Linked DNA regions of Xenopus tropicalis. The protein of the gene in region 2 interacts with the protein of the main gene of each other region in a pairwise test. Links are inferred from orthologs where the notes say so. Each region holds a gene or a part of one and is shown on either strand. Other genes may lie near its edges.

Region 1 (7,266 bases), on a different chromosome or scaffold from region 2:
CGGCACCGGCCTGTAATGATAGGTGGCACAGTGCCAGGCAGGGCACAAAGCTGGCATTGGATGTAACCATGCTCAGAAGAGATAAGAGAAAGCGCAGCCCGCAGTGACTCAGGGCATCACAGAACATTACACCTAGAATATTATCCCAATAGCTCATTAATCAGTTGGTGGCAAGACGGATGTGTTTTGGGCCGCAGGGCAGGTAAATGGTTAAGAAGTCTCTTCCCTCCACCCCAAAACAGTTCCGCGCGCTTTTTTCTCATTACAGTAGGCATAGCGGCCGATGTGGGATAATATGATTTTAATGACCGGAACCGTCTCCTGGCTCCTGCGTGGTTATCAATTAGACGATGTATACGGGCTCCAGCAGGGCAGCCTCGGCTAGCGCTCCTCCAAGGTCAGCACCGAGTGTGGGCTGCATTTAACCGCTTCCTGCTACCGGATTCATATACACAGGCCATGCAGGGACAGATATATTGGCTACCGGCCCCACAACAACTTGCTCTGGGCTCCATGCAGATGAAGAAGTGGAGTCAGTCTGGGTTAATTGGTGATATTGTAAAGGTTTATCTGGTAACCCACAGCAACCAATAAGCAGTTAATATGCAATAGTGTAGTATGATTTATGGAAGCTAACATCTGACTGGCCATTTAATTAGGTACCCCTAAATATACAATTGAGCAGGCACAAGCAATCTGTAGTACTACAACTCCCAAAGCCAACGTTGCATGGAGAGGAGACATACGACGAAGATTACCTTTTTGGTTGTTGTAGAGAGCACCATTCTGAAACAATTTGCAATTGGTCTTTTTTTTTTTTTTAATTTCTGGTTTTACAATTCTTTAGCTTTAGATTCATCAACTCTACAGCTTGGAAATGTAGCAGCTATACGGTGGCTAGGGTCCAAAATACCCTAGCAACCAGTCACAGGTTTAAATGAGAGACTGGAATATGTACATTTAGGAGCGGGTCTGAATAGAAATATGAGAAATACAACAGGGGCAAAAAATCTGGTACAGGTATAGGACCCATTATCCAGAAAGCTTGGGACCAAGGGTATTCCGGATAAGGGGTCTTTCTGTAATTTAGATCTCCATCCCTTAAGTCTATAGGATTGTTTTGCATCCAATAAGGATTATTTATATCTTAGTTGGGATCAATTACAAGGTACTGTTTTATTATTACAGAGAAAAGGGAATCATTTAACCATTAAATAAACCCAATAGGGCTGTTCTGCCCCCAATAAGGGGTAATTATATCTTAGTTGGGATCAAGTACAGGTACTGTTTTATTATTACAGAGAAAAGGGAATTATTTAACCATTAAATAAACCCAATAGGGCTGTTCTGCCCCCAATAAGGGGTAATTATATCTTAGTTGGGATCAATTACAAGGTACTGTTTTATTATTACAGAGAAAAATGAAATCAGTTTTAAAATTCAGAATTATTTGATTAAAATGGAGTCTATGGGAGACAGGCTTTCCGTAATTCGGAGCTTTCTGGATAATGGGTTTCCGGATAAGGGATCCCATACCTGTATAGTGAAGTGACACGAATCAGACAAAACCGAGGACCAGATTTGGATCAGTATTCTAAGCCTTCGCTTCACTGGGAGCTCTTGTTTGTCGACTATATGATTCAGAACCATCAACCATGTTATGTGGGAGTCAAAAGGAGACCCCATTTAATACGGTCTATAGTTGTTAGTACGCAAAATGCAGCACCAAGTTATCATTTGGCAGCTTGTTAGGAAAGGAGGATTAAAGGGAGAAGATATACTTGCAGCTAAAAATCAGTAATTTACAGAAAAGTCCCAGTGACACAGGCATGACGTAGCCCTTAGAATCTCCCTAGAAACTGCATTTTCAGAGGTTATATGTCCCCTGTCCCCCCGTCCCCAGCGAGCAATTATCAGACGCCTGCCATAAGATCAATAGCCTCCAGTTCTGGGAATCTTTAGGAGCGCTCCTATCGGCTGACAATAGCCATTCTGATATATCGATTGCATCCTTGCCGAGTTTTATCCGAGCGCCAGAGGTGCAGCCTGTCTCAAGTGTCTGCTCGATGGCTGCCTCTGCCAGTTATTGATCCGAAAGCCAAACAGGATCTTTTAAACAGCAGCGTCTGGCATTTGAGTGGCAGGGAAACAAGCCAATGAGCCAGTGCTTTATTCTTTACACTCAAAAGCATGTCATACAGTATCGGAATACAGGCCGTAAATATGATCAGACATAAGGCTTCACTTACTGTGACAGGAGTGTTAACCTACTCACTGCCCTTTGGGCAAGGGCACAGTAAATAGCAGCTAAAGCCTTACGGCTACAGGGAGTGATTTCCCATGCATAACCCCTACCAGCCAAAGATGTGATTCAGCAATCTTTTTAAAACACAGAAGGAGATGCAAATTATTATTACTGTACTTTATATAAAAATACCAAACATGGACATTTGGATGGCATCACCTTGGACTCACGTCAAAAGACAAAAAAAAAATGTAGCAGATGGACAGAGGGTGGGTTGCAGGAAAAAATGGCAAATCCAAATGTTAAAAGTTCTATTTACATATAGATCCTTCGGGGCAAGGTATTTAGGGTGCATTTGTAGGAGGCCGGTAGGTGTTATAGCGTCTCCAGCAGCTCCTGAATTCTCTTTTGCTCACTTTCCCGGAACTCTTCGCTCTTCCCATCACCAATGCTCTCAGAGTATTCTACAGGGTAAAAATAAGCAGGGAAATTAGATATGGAGAAAAAAAAAAGTGACAGCCCTCCCGATAAGAAAAACTGGCAAAGTAATGGAACAGATGCAGAAGAAGTTTCCTAGAAGGTCCCATATATTCCTTGTTGTCCCCACATATTTCTTACAGTCCCCATGTATCCCTTACTGTCAGCTAAGCACAGTACACCCACTCCCTTCCCTGTACTTTCCTCTATTGCTACATAAAACTCCCCCATTGTTCCATATAACCCATAGCTATAATTCCCCCATTGTTCCCTTACCCCCTTCCTTATAACTCCTCCTACTGCCCCATATTACACGCCTATCCACACTCACACCAGCCCCCTTGGTGCCTCCATTTTCCTCTTCCCTATAACCCCACCCTCTCAGTTCCATATAAACTTTACAGCCTCTCACTCACGTATCATATAACGTATCATATAATCCCCTGGCCCTTTGTTCCATATATTATATAAATAACCCTTAAAATCTGACAGAGGAAGTAGTAATGTAAAATGGGGAAAAGACAGTCCAGTACAGCATATGGGGATGTGGATCTCTTGAGTTAAAACTTACCTTTTAGAATATGTCTCATGATTTTCACAGAGCTTCCCCTCATGTTTAGAATTTGCAGCACTCTCTGGCGAATCTGGAATTAAAAGCACAAGAAAATGTGAGTGAAAGAGACAAGAAAGGGAAAGGAAATCCCATAACGTGTTGATCAAAAAGTAAGAAGTGGAACTGCAAGCAAGGAGAGAAGGTAGGAAGCAGCCATGGGAGGAATGCAAACAAAGCCAATTTAGCATGGATTAGGCAACAGGGGATAATAATAATTAAGTACCGGCCCACAGAAGGGAAGAACATAGGCCAATATCTCTATTAGCAACAGTTACTATATCTTATTGCTTAAACAATTATTGTGCCGCTACCCAACGCCAAGCGTATGCATCCATCTCTTCCTTAGATGATAAAAATCATCACCCCTGCTTAATAAAGCAGGCTATTGCATTTCATATAAAGATGGTTACACCCCATAAAGGTTTGGGGACCACTGCTGGAAGGCCATTTGAGCACTGGCAAACTAAAACTGAGGGATGGTGAAATTCTGATGGTTTAAATATCTGTGTAATTTGTAGCTGGATGAGGAGGCATCACTGCAATACGAAACACGGTGCTCCCTCCTAAGTATCTTATTCTCACTGTTTTCCTAAGTTTATCCAATATTCCTAAACTAATGTCCTACCACAGATTGTTCAAAGGGTTTCTCACCTTTAAATTAACTTTTAGTATGATGTAGAGTGTGCTATTCTGAGGCAATTTGTAATTGGTCTTTATTTTTTATTGCCTGTTTAATTGTTTAGTTTTTTTGTTCAGCAGCTATCTTGCTGCTAGGGTCCAATTTAACCTAGCAACCAGGCAGTGGTTTGAAAGAGAGGCAGGGATAGAATTAGAGAAGGGACTAAACAGAAAGATATGTAACACTACCAATAACATTGTAGCCTCACAGAGCAATAGTTTTGTTGGCTGCTGGGGCCAGTGACCCCCATTTGAAAGCCGGAAAGGTATACAAAATAAAACATGAAGACCAACTGAAAAGTTGCTAAGAATAGGACATTCCATTCTGTACTAAAAGTTAACCTGAAGATGAACAAGAGCTGGTGGGTTGCAGGATGGGCATACCTGCGGCAGGTTGTTGTTACAGATCTCCGCTGTGACGTAACACAGGAGCTGAAGCAGGAAGAGGCCGGCATCCAATCTTCGCAAGTAAAACTCCTCCTCGACATCATCATCTAAAATCTCCCCTCGGCGCACCATATCCTGCCAGCACAACATACTCCATTAAGGACAGGTGGCAAAACAAGGGAAATGGAAGTAAAAATATTTAAAGGAGAACTGAACCCTAATAATGAATAAGGCTACAAATGCCAAATATTTTATATACTTATTGCACCAGTTTAAAGATTCAGCATCTCTAGTTGTAATGACCTTCAGTTGCCCCAGAAGCTCCCCATCTTGGTTTCTGCTAGGAGTGTCAGCGACACTGCACATGCTCAGTGGGCTCTGGGGTGGCTGCTGAGAAGCTTAGCTTGGGTTATCACAAATCAAGCAGAAAATGAGGTTTGCTTATAGGGCTATTACAGTCTGACGCAAATTGCACTGGTTTCAGAGCAGCCATGCAATGAAAATTACTAATCAGCCTTATATTGTCACATTTATATTCTATATATACAGTATATTGTGCTTCAGTTCTTAAGGTTAGGTAAGTGACAGCAGTAGTATGTGCTACTGGGGGCATCTTTAGAACCATAGATCTTTACTGCTTAACGGCGGTGGTTGCTCTGTTCTAGTACAGAATCCAAAAACATTATGTACAACATTTGTAGCCTCATTTACGCCTTAGTCCTCTTTTAACAGGGAGCAAAAGGGATAGGAGAAAGAATAGTAAGTGGGGGAGAGAAAGAGAGTAAGGGCAGATATGAACAACTGGAAGGTTAACAGCAAATTAACAGCTACTTTAGGACATTCGCTTTAAGCTGGAGAAGAAAACTACATGAAGTGTGAGTGAAACTGGTTATTAGAATAGATATCCAATGTGAGAACAGGGATACTAACATGCTTCTCTCCCTCGATCTTCTTGTCAGCCACCCGTACAGCCTCCAGGTATTTAAAGTACAACTCCATGAGCCGATCCACCTGCGGGAGAATCAGAAGGCAAGAAAAAAAAAAGCTTAACATTCCAGGTCCAACACGTGATGTGAACTATTTCTGTGCTCATCACAGGTGTAAGAAGAGCTTTCGCATTTCACACTCACCTTTTCGCAGTCACTTTCTGTGAACTTGCTGAGAAGCCGTGTCCTCTGCTGACCCCTCAGGTTCCGCAGCAGCGAGGCCAGGATGGAGCACACGTGTTCTGTAGGAAAAGCAAAGAACAATGTTTGGGGGGGAGCTGGGACATCTTGTTACATACATGGAAAGAGGAAATAACATGAAACAAATGGAGTTATATAAATGGTGGCATAGGAACTGTATATATGGATAGATACTTATTACACACACTATTAAAATAATCAGCATTGGAAAGCAGCCTACAGTCCATAACCCCCACTAGGTAGAAGGATTATGAGCCCATATGGAAGAGCTGCCTTAATAAAAGGAACAATTAAATAGCTAACAAGGGGGGGCAGACTTATGTCAGGAAATTTTCTTTTTCTCTCTCGACGTCTGCTAATCCCTTTGGCTTAAGCATATTGTGCTGCCAGCAAAGCACCGTTACCCTCAATATTTTTTCACAGTTAGAGATTAGCCTCTGTGAGTTAAACTGGAAAGCTGCCAGTTGGCTGCCTGGTAATGATACTCAGAGCTTAGCCGAAGCTCTAGGGAGACCAGTGTCAAAAGCAGGGTGGGAAATAGGCACTTGGAACAATCACAGCTGGGTCCTGTGAACCTTCATCAGTGGGTTGGGGCAATATGCTGGTTGCTCACAGTTACTATCCAGGTCTAGACCAGTAGGTTTGAATAGTTATTTTGCTAAGAAATTAGTGCCGGGCGATTCCAAAAAACAGTAGGCGCAGCTTCCATTGCCTTCTCTAGCCACTTACCCTCATGCTCCTTCTCAGAGACGCCGGTTTTCTTTGCTTTTTTGGGAGATTTCATGAAAAGAGGAAAGATGGTTCGGAGTCCGAGGATGTCGACAAACTTGTGACAATTATCTGTACCCTCTGGGCCGATCATGGCGTGATCTAATACCCGCAGGGCACTGCAACGGGACATTTTTTTCTCGCTGTAAAGAAATGGATAGGGTCACTGCATGATAAATAGCACAGACATATCCAGACTGCATTTAAAGGGGATCTAAACCCAAAAAGAAAATTAGTGTAAAATGAAAAAATGCTCAGAGCAATACCATCACCTGGGGTTCTCCAGATGGTGTTAAACTGCAACCTGTTGCTATATGGAGGGCCTGCAGTTGCCGCTGCCTAGTCTATGTCAACCATACTTGGAGTCAGGAAGGAATTTTTTCCCCTCTGTGGCAAATTAGAGAGGCTTCAGATGGGGTTTTTTGCCTTCCTCTGGATCAACTAGTAGTTAGGCAGGTTATATATAGGCATTATGGTTGAACTTGATGGACGTATGTCTTTTTTCAACCCAACTTACTATGTTACTATGTTACTATGCTAGCAGGAATCCATTTCCTGCCAACTTTTACAATATTAAAAAAAAATTGACACAAATGCCACTTCCATGGCCCTGGTAAAAACTACAGCTTTCAGCTTATCACAGGTGGATTGCCATAATGTAAAAATTTGGAAAGCAACACAAGCACCATAAAAGTTCATGGAGGAGCCAAATAAGGGCTGTGATTGGCTATTAGGGGCCTCTATGCACCCTATCAGCTTACAGGGGCTTTATTTGGTAGGAAATCTTGTTTTTATTCAACAAAAACAAAATTACCCAGGTGCGACAGAGTACAGATATATGGTAAGGGGTATATATTGTTCCAATGTACTGTAGATGGGTTATATTATCCCTAGGACTTATTTCTCACCGG
Region 2 (7,577 bases):
TCCAACCATCCCTTCTCTTCTTCAGGTTCACTTTTATTGTATGTTATACAATAGCCAATTCTAAGCAACTTTTAATTTGGTCTTTATTATTTATTTGTAATATTTTTTTAATTTGCCTTCTTCTGAGTGTTTCCAGTCTTTAAATAGGGGTCAATTACCCCAGCAGCCAAAAAACTCTCTCTGTCAGGCTACAATTTTGTTATTGTTATTTTTTATTCCTTATCTTTTGATTCATTTCTCTCCTATTCAGATTTCAGTCTTTCATTCAAATACCTTCCTGGTTGCTAAGGTAATTTGGACCCTAGCAACCAGATAACTGCTAAAACTTCTAACTGGAGAGATGCTGACCAAAAAGTGAATAAAAAGTTTGATCAAAAGGAGCATTAGTGAGCCACAGAAAAGTATGAAACATTGTTGTACAACATCAATTTATAGCTCAGTTTAAAGGGGTAGTTTGCCTTTAAGTGGTAACTTTTACTATGATATATAATAGCCAATTCTTATCAACTTTTCAATTTGTCAATTTTTTATAGCTTTTAAATTATGTTTTCTTCTGACTCTTTGCAGCCCTCAAATGGGGGTTACTGACACCGGCAGTCAAAAATTATTGCAGTATGAGGCTATATTACTAATCTTTCAATCCAGGTTCTCCCCCTATTCATATTCCAGTCTCTCATTTTAATCACTACCTGGTTGCTAGTGTAATTTGCACCCTAGCCACTGATAGCTGCTAAAATTCCAAACAAAAACATAAACTAATCCAAAAGACACAATTATAAAAATGAAGACCAAATGCAGATTGTCTTACAATAGCGCTCTTTGTATCATACTAAAAATTAATAACAGGTGAACCACCCCTTTACCAGCTATGATTGAAATGACAGCAGCATATATACAAGTTATGCCCAAACTGGGAAGTTGCAACATCAGTGCATTTCTCCTGCTTACAGGGACCATAATACTAGCATCCATGCAAATGATTGTTATTGTTTGTCCAGCTAAACAAAAAGGTTAAACTCACAATATCAAGGTACAGCGCTATTCTTACACTGCTTCATAAACAAAAAAAGCAGTACCTGCCTCCTTGTGTTACGGCTTCTGTAAGGATAAAAGCTGAGTACTATAAATGCATCAGTGATAAAATACAGTTGCAATCGCAGTCTATACTGTAAACAGGGGGACTTGTCATGTCACAAATGAAACTGCTGCAGTTCTGAGTTTGGCCAGAATACAGAGTAAAGGATTCATGACAAACTGTCTACCAGTGTCTCCATTGGTCCTCAGGTGAGGTGATAAAAAAAACAAAAAATGCCTGCTTCAACTTTTTATAAAGTAGAACAAATGCCCAGATCAGGCCAATTTAGCATTACAACATGGTCAAATCAGCTACAAACCTTTCCATGTTTGCAGTATTCATAGTGAACAAGGAAACTTCAGCGATTAAGAGCTTTAACTAAAACTTTAAAAAAATATATATACACACTAATATAAAATTTCTGGATACCTACTAAAAACATGTACAAAACCGTATATTCTGGGATTTAAATTTCTTTTTAAAAGAAGAAAATGTGCCAATTAGGCACATTTTTTTGTTCCTTACTTAAAAAGGGTGTTGCTTAAAGGAACAGTAACATCAAAAACAAGGTGTATAGAAATAATTACAATATAATATACTGTTGCCCTGCACTGATGAAAGTTGTGTGTTTGCCTCAGAAAGACTACTATCGTTTTGGAAACAAAGCTGCTGTGTAGCCATGGGGGCAGCTATTCAAAGGAGAAAAGGCACAGGTTACTTAGCAGGTAGCAGATAAAAAAACCATAATATTCTACAGAATATTATCTGGTCTGGAACCTGTGCATATTCTCCTTTTTTCAGCTTAAATGGCTGCCCCCATAGATTCACAGCAGTGTATTTATATAAACTATAGTAGTGTTTCTATAGTAAACACACAACTTTTACCAGTGCAGGGCAATAGTACATTATATTTTTATTACCTTAAAGCTCTTTCATTTTTTGGTGTTACTGTTCCTTGTGCCTAAATGGATACACAGGGTTTATTAGCCATAAGTAGAAACGTTCACTGGGATTAGTTCTAGTTGTGGTTGTTTACAGCTGTTCAGTCTTCATCCTCCATTTGTTTCTTCAGGCTGAAAGAGAAGGAGAAAAGTTAAGTATGGTATAATAAAACTGCAATATGGAGTGCTATACACATGCTTCTTCTCAAAGCAGGGACAGAGAGATGGATCTGCTCAAGCAGTTAATTTTCTACATCTCTACTTGCTACACAATAACATGCCTGATACAAATAATTTACAGTTTCAACAGAAGTATTATTCTTTTAATACAATTCCTGAAGCGTAAAATAGGGAATGAATCTGTAAGTAGAAAGTCTGTACCTCTCAAGGTATTCTTTCACATTGTCATAACCAGAGAACTTTGCCAAATGAATGAGCATGCCAGTTGCACAGCGGCCATCGCGTTTTCGACAGTAACTGCAGTTACAAATGTCACGGCAAGGAGGACAAATCCAATCCTGGAATTAAGAAGAGAAAAATAGAACTATCCTGCAGTAAACTACACAAACATTTTATTACACACAACTTTTTTGAGGTAGGTGGTAGAAGGAAATGGAAAAATTCATTTGAATGAAGTCATGTGGCAATCACCACTAACCAATTCGTTTACATAAAAAACAGGTTTGATGATGGTGTTGGAACTGCTTATTTGAGAATTTTCAGGTGAAAAGCACCAGTTCTAGGGATGACATGCCTTTAGTCATATAAATGAAACTGGAGGCAGATGTAGTGGTAAGGGGCACTTAAAAGGATTCAGTTAAAGCATTAAGGGGAACAACCTACATACTGTATAGAGCATTCCGAAGACAGCATTACACATGCATAGAATAGGGCATGCAGTACTGTACATTAGAATTAACAGTACAAACAGGAGTCAACACAATAATAAAAAATACAGAATGTATCATTCATTTAAAAACACATTAAGAAAATGTTATAAACATACATAAATAATATCAGAAATAAGTCAAAGTGGTTTGAAGAGGCAAGAAGCTTAATTAAACAGGTCCCTTTCTGAAGCATAAGACACACTATTAGTGGCTCAGAAAGAAATAAACTTAAAAAGCCAAACACAGCTGGTGTCACTATTAAATTGCACTATTATATAGCTTCAGACCAAGGCTGGGTTACTCACAGGGTCTAAAAGTGCTTCTCGAACATCTTCCCCATATCGGTTCCGCAAGCAGGGCCCACAAAATTGCCCTCTGACACCACCGCATCCAGGATTACGGCAAACTGTCTTAGTGTCAATTGTTTTCTGCCTACATTGATGACAAGTACTACCCTAAAATGGAAAAAAAAAAAAAAAAAAAAAAGAAGAGCTTAATTTACACACACACACACCAGTTTACTGAACAAAATTACAATATTTTGGAAAGAACTATTTCCAGTCTCCGTTTAATGGATTTGCAGGATCAATAAACAAAACTACACCAAAGTATACTAACTCCTTTCAGCCAGTGCCCTGGCTGGGATTGAAGCAAGGACCCCAGGGAACTTTCTGCAAGGAGCAAGTATGTTCTACACTACACTCTTAGGGGGGCATTTATTACCATTCGGATTTTCGTAGTTTTATAGATTTTTGAAACCACAACTAAACTAATTTCCATGAAGGTCAGTCATTTATGAAAAGATCTGAACTGAAAAAGACCAAACTTAAAAGGTGCAGAAAAAAATGAGAAAACCTAGACTTTTCCGTTTGGTCACATGAAAACCGTGCTTTTTGTATTGTCATACATAAGCCAGAGGGAAAAAAAAAAACACAGAAAACCTCTAAAACCAAGAAGCAAAGAAAGATCCAGTTGTAAAAGGGCCATCTACCACTGACTTCTACATGATCAACAGGTTTTAGATACCATATTTTTGTATTTAGATTTGTTGTGGTTTTGTTTTACCCTGTGACAAATTCATATTTCAGCGTCAAAAAAAAAGTAAATGCGTTAGTAAATGCCCCCTTAAGTTTGTAAAACGGATCAAACAATTTGATTATTTCCTAAATACAGTATATTGTGGGTGAAAGGAAAGACTAAAAATAACAAAATATTCTTAAGAACTTATAATTTCTCCATTAATGTTGACAGACAAATTCTACTAATGTAAATGACAGGCTCAGGCATTTCTCTACCGGCTGAAAAATAATGGTGAAAAATACACCACGTGTGCCTTGAGCCCAATATAGTAATACAAATATATTTCCCTATACAAATACATTTACATGAAAAGCTGGATATTTACCAAAATCTTATCATAAATTTTATCCTTGACTGAGTCTGCAACATTTTGCAGCTCCTCTTCTGTAATATCTTCTACGGCACGCACCACAGTATTCTTGGAAGATCGCCTCCTCTTTTGATATTGTTCTCTCTCATCCTATATTAAAAGATCAAGTCTATTTTAACAACTGTCACTAAAAGAAATCTCCCTTGGTGGAGAATCCACCTGTGTGACATTAGCATTCTCTTTGGAACACTCTTCAAATCAAAAGTGTATATAAATAATACACACAACACAAACATACTTTACAAAAAAAAGCATTGTTTTCATGCCTAAATAAACACTAACCACTGTATCCCTTTAATTACTTAGTGGTCTCCATTTTAACACCACAACATTAACTGCCATTTAGGGTTATTGAAAAGCATTACCCCCCAGGAAAAGATACTTAGTTGTTAGACATAGTTTAAAGAAAGCGATTGGGTACCTCACTCAAAGTCCGCTTTATAAAAGCTTTCTTGCCATATTTATGAACATGCTCAGCAAACTTAACAGCTGACAAAGCAAAATTTTCCAAACCAAAGTTCTCTGGTGGCCGAGCACTTCTGTTTGGGTTTGTACGCCGTTCAACATGACCTTCAGAAAATGTCCTCCGAGGAGTCTTCTTCTGCTTCTAGAGGGGAAAAAAAACTGTAATTTTGGCTTACATTGCATAAAGTAAAGTATATAATTCTTATAAAGCAGACACGGTACTCACTGCGGGTGATGTGGAAGGTGTCCTTACTGGAAAGAGATCTGGCATTGAATTAAGTTCTGACAAAAGCTGAGCAAGCTGAAATTAAAAAAATGAATACAAAAAAGAAAATTAGAAAACCTGTATTAAACACAAATCTGATTCACAATTAAACATATAAAATAAACCAATATATACTGATTAGGGTTAACAAATTAAAAAAAAAAGGGAGATTTGTTTTTACTAACTGAAAAATCCTTTGTGCTAAGTCCTGTAAAAGCAGCACAGGAAGGATAGGGTTAATGTCCTATCCCCTTTAGCAGGAAGAATGCTGTACAGGTCATATACTCCTCTTGCAGACATTAACCCATACAGCCTTTTCCTGCCAGCATGTAGGAGCTACATGTTTTGCAGGGAAAGGGTTAATAACTGAAAGACAAAAAGACAAAACCCATTCAGTCATAATCATAAATGTCCGTAACTACATACCCCATGTCTCGCCTATACCTGCCTCCCTTTCAATTGTAAGTCCATGTGGGTGATGCCCTCACTAAGGTGTCTCAGTTTGTCAGTATTTAAAATGCTGGTAAATATGGCTAAATGTGTAAAAAGTCACCATGTCAGCTGTTTTGTTGCTACATACCATTGCTTTGTTTTCCTTTATGTTCATTGCCCTTTTCAGCAAAGCACTTGGATTTTCGACGTTGGAAGTAGGATCCTCATCTTCTGAATCAGATCCAGGAGCTGGTCTTTTCTTGCAGGATCGTTGTTCTTTCTTCACTCTAGAGGGTGGTTTCTTACTATCCTTTTTGCCTGGTTTTACAAGTGAGGAGTCGGGGTTCTTTTTCGCAGTCTTGCCGGCACACTTTTTGTTAGTGAATGGGAGAGCAACGCGTAGACCCTGATTTCTCTTTTTAGGTAAGGGAGCTTCATCTTCACTGTCCGACAGTACAACATCCACAGAATAGCCTTCATCAGCCCCTGTCTGGAGAAAAAAACAATATTAAAAACCAAATTATACCTTGTAATATTCAGTCCAATATATGTTATGATATAGAAGCAATGAATAAATCCCTAATAAAGCATCATGGCTTGCTATTAAGGTCTTAAGTTAGTTTGTTCTTTGGCAATACACATCCCAAAACAAGCTATAACCCCCAGCATCTTGTTGTCCAACCCTTATATAAAGCCACTGACCTGCAAGCCATGAGCCAAGGTGGCCATACACGAACAGATTTAAGCTGTAAATTTAAGTCCTTTAGAACAATTTGGCAGTTTATCTGCCATGTATGGGGCCCCCCAAATGGGCCTCCCCGATCCATACCAGGCCAAAAAATCAGGCAGGTTTTATTTTCCCATCGGATTTGAGGTTGCATCAGCTCATAGATGCGGTCCTGAGTCCGAAGGCTCCTCTACCTGTTGTTGGAAATTGATCATTTGGCCCTAGGTCCAAACGATCAAATTAGCCCCATATCATCCACCTTAGGTGGGCATGTCAGGAGAAGATCTGCTCGTTTGGCCACTAAGCCAAACGAGTGGATCTTAACGTGTATGGCTACTTTCACACTTGGGGGCACATTTACTAATCCCGAATGCATTTTTTTTTTTGTAATGATCGGTATTTTGTGATTTTTTCGTAAATTGTTGCGACTTTTTCGTAGCCATTACGACTTGCTCGTAAATTGTCGCGACTTTTTCGTAGCCATTACTACTTGCTCGTAAATTGTAGCGACTTTTTCATAGCCGTTGTGCCGAGTACGAAAGTTTTGGATTCATTCAAGCTTCAGTATCGTGACTTTCCTTGGGCCAGGTTGGAGCTGCAGAGTGCCATTGAGCCCTATGGGAGACTTTCCTTGGGCCAGGTTGGAGCTGCAGAGTGCCATTGAGCCCTATGGGAGACTTTCCTTGGGCCGGGTTGGAGCTGCAGAGTGCCATTGAGCCCTATGGGAGACTTTCCTTGGGCCAGGTTGGAGCTGCAGAGTGCCATTGAGTCCTATGGGAGACTTTCCTTGGGCCGGGTTGGAGCTGCAGAGTGCCATTGAGTCCTATAGGAGACTTTCCTTGGGCCAGGTTGCAGCTGCAGAGTGCCATTGAGCCCTATGGGAGACTTTCCTTGGGCCAGGTTGGAGCTGCAGAGTGCCATTGAGCCCTATGGGAGACTTTCCTTGGGCCAGGTTGGAGCTGCAGAGTGCCATTGAGTCCTATGGGAGGCTTCCAATATCATGCAAAGTCGCAAAGGTTTGCCCGCCATTTACGAGCGCTCAATACGAAAAAGTTGCGACAATATACGAGCAAGTCGTAATGGCTACGAAAAAGTCGCGACAATTTACAAGCAAGTCGTAATGGCTACGAAAAAGTCGCGACAATTTACGAGCAAGTCGTAATGGCTACGAAAAAGTCGTGACAATTTACGCAATAATTGCAAAATGTTCGTTTCCAATCCGATTTTTTCCCATTCGGGATTCGGATTCGTGGATTAGTAAATCAGCCCCTTGGTCTTCATTCATGACAAATAACTGGACAACAGCTTTTGTTTGAGTGCCCAAAGTTTTCT

Evidence for each region. The genes of interacting proteins can lie anywhere in the genome.
Region 1: the proteins of cdca7l (region 2) and ctnnbl1 interact in binary tests that used the Homo sapiens proteins (3 or more experiments, as listed by UniProt). The link is inferred for Xenopus tropicalis from reciprocal best matches to the Homo sapiens genes CDCA7L and CTNNBL1.

Annotation. Positions count from the first base shown.
Region 1 is NC_030686.2:39,412,201-39,419,466, forward strand, and holds the end of ctnnbl1 (beta-catenin-like protein 1), read right to left. Parts: coding exon 7,264-7,266; intron 6,499-7,263; coding exon 6,317-6,498; intron 5,629-6,316; coding exon 5,531-5,628; intron 5,412-5,530; coding exon 5,331-5,411; intron 4,536-5,330; coding exon 4,398-4,535; intron 3,367-4,397; coding exon 3,294-3,366; intron 2,710-3,293; coding exon 2,621-2,709; 3' UTR 2,155-2,620; downstream 1-2,154. UniProt on the Homo sapiens protein: Component of the PRP19-CDC5L complex that forms an integral part of the spliceosome and is required for activating pre-mRNA splicing.
Region 2 is NC_030682.2:39,651,586-39,659,162, forward strand, and holds the end of cdca7l (cell division cycle-associated 7-like protein), read right to left. Parts: intron 6,009-7,577; coding exon 5,667-6,008; intron 5,123-5,666; coding exon 5,048-5,122; intron 4,964-5,047; coding exon 4,778-4,963; intron 4,447-4,777; coding exon 4,312-4,446; intron 3,362-4,311; coding exon 3,212-3,361; intron 2,535-3,211; coding exon 2,398-2,534; intron 2,149-2,397; coding exon 2,118-2,148; 3' UTR 1,312-2,117; downstream 1-1,311. UniProt on the Homo sapiens protein: Plays a role in transcriptional regulation as a repressor that inhibits monoamine oxidase A (MAOA) activity and gene expression by binding to the promoter.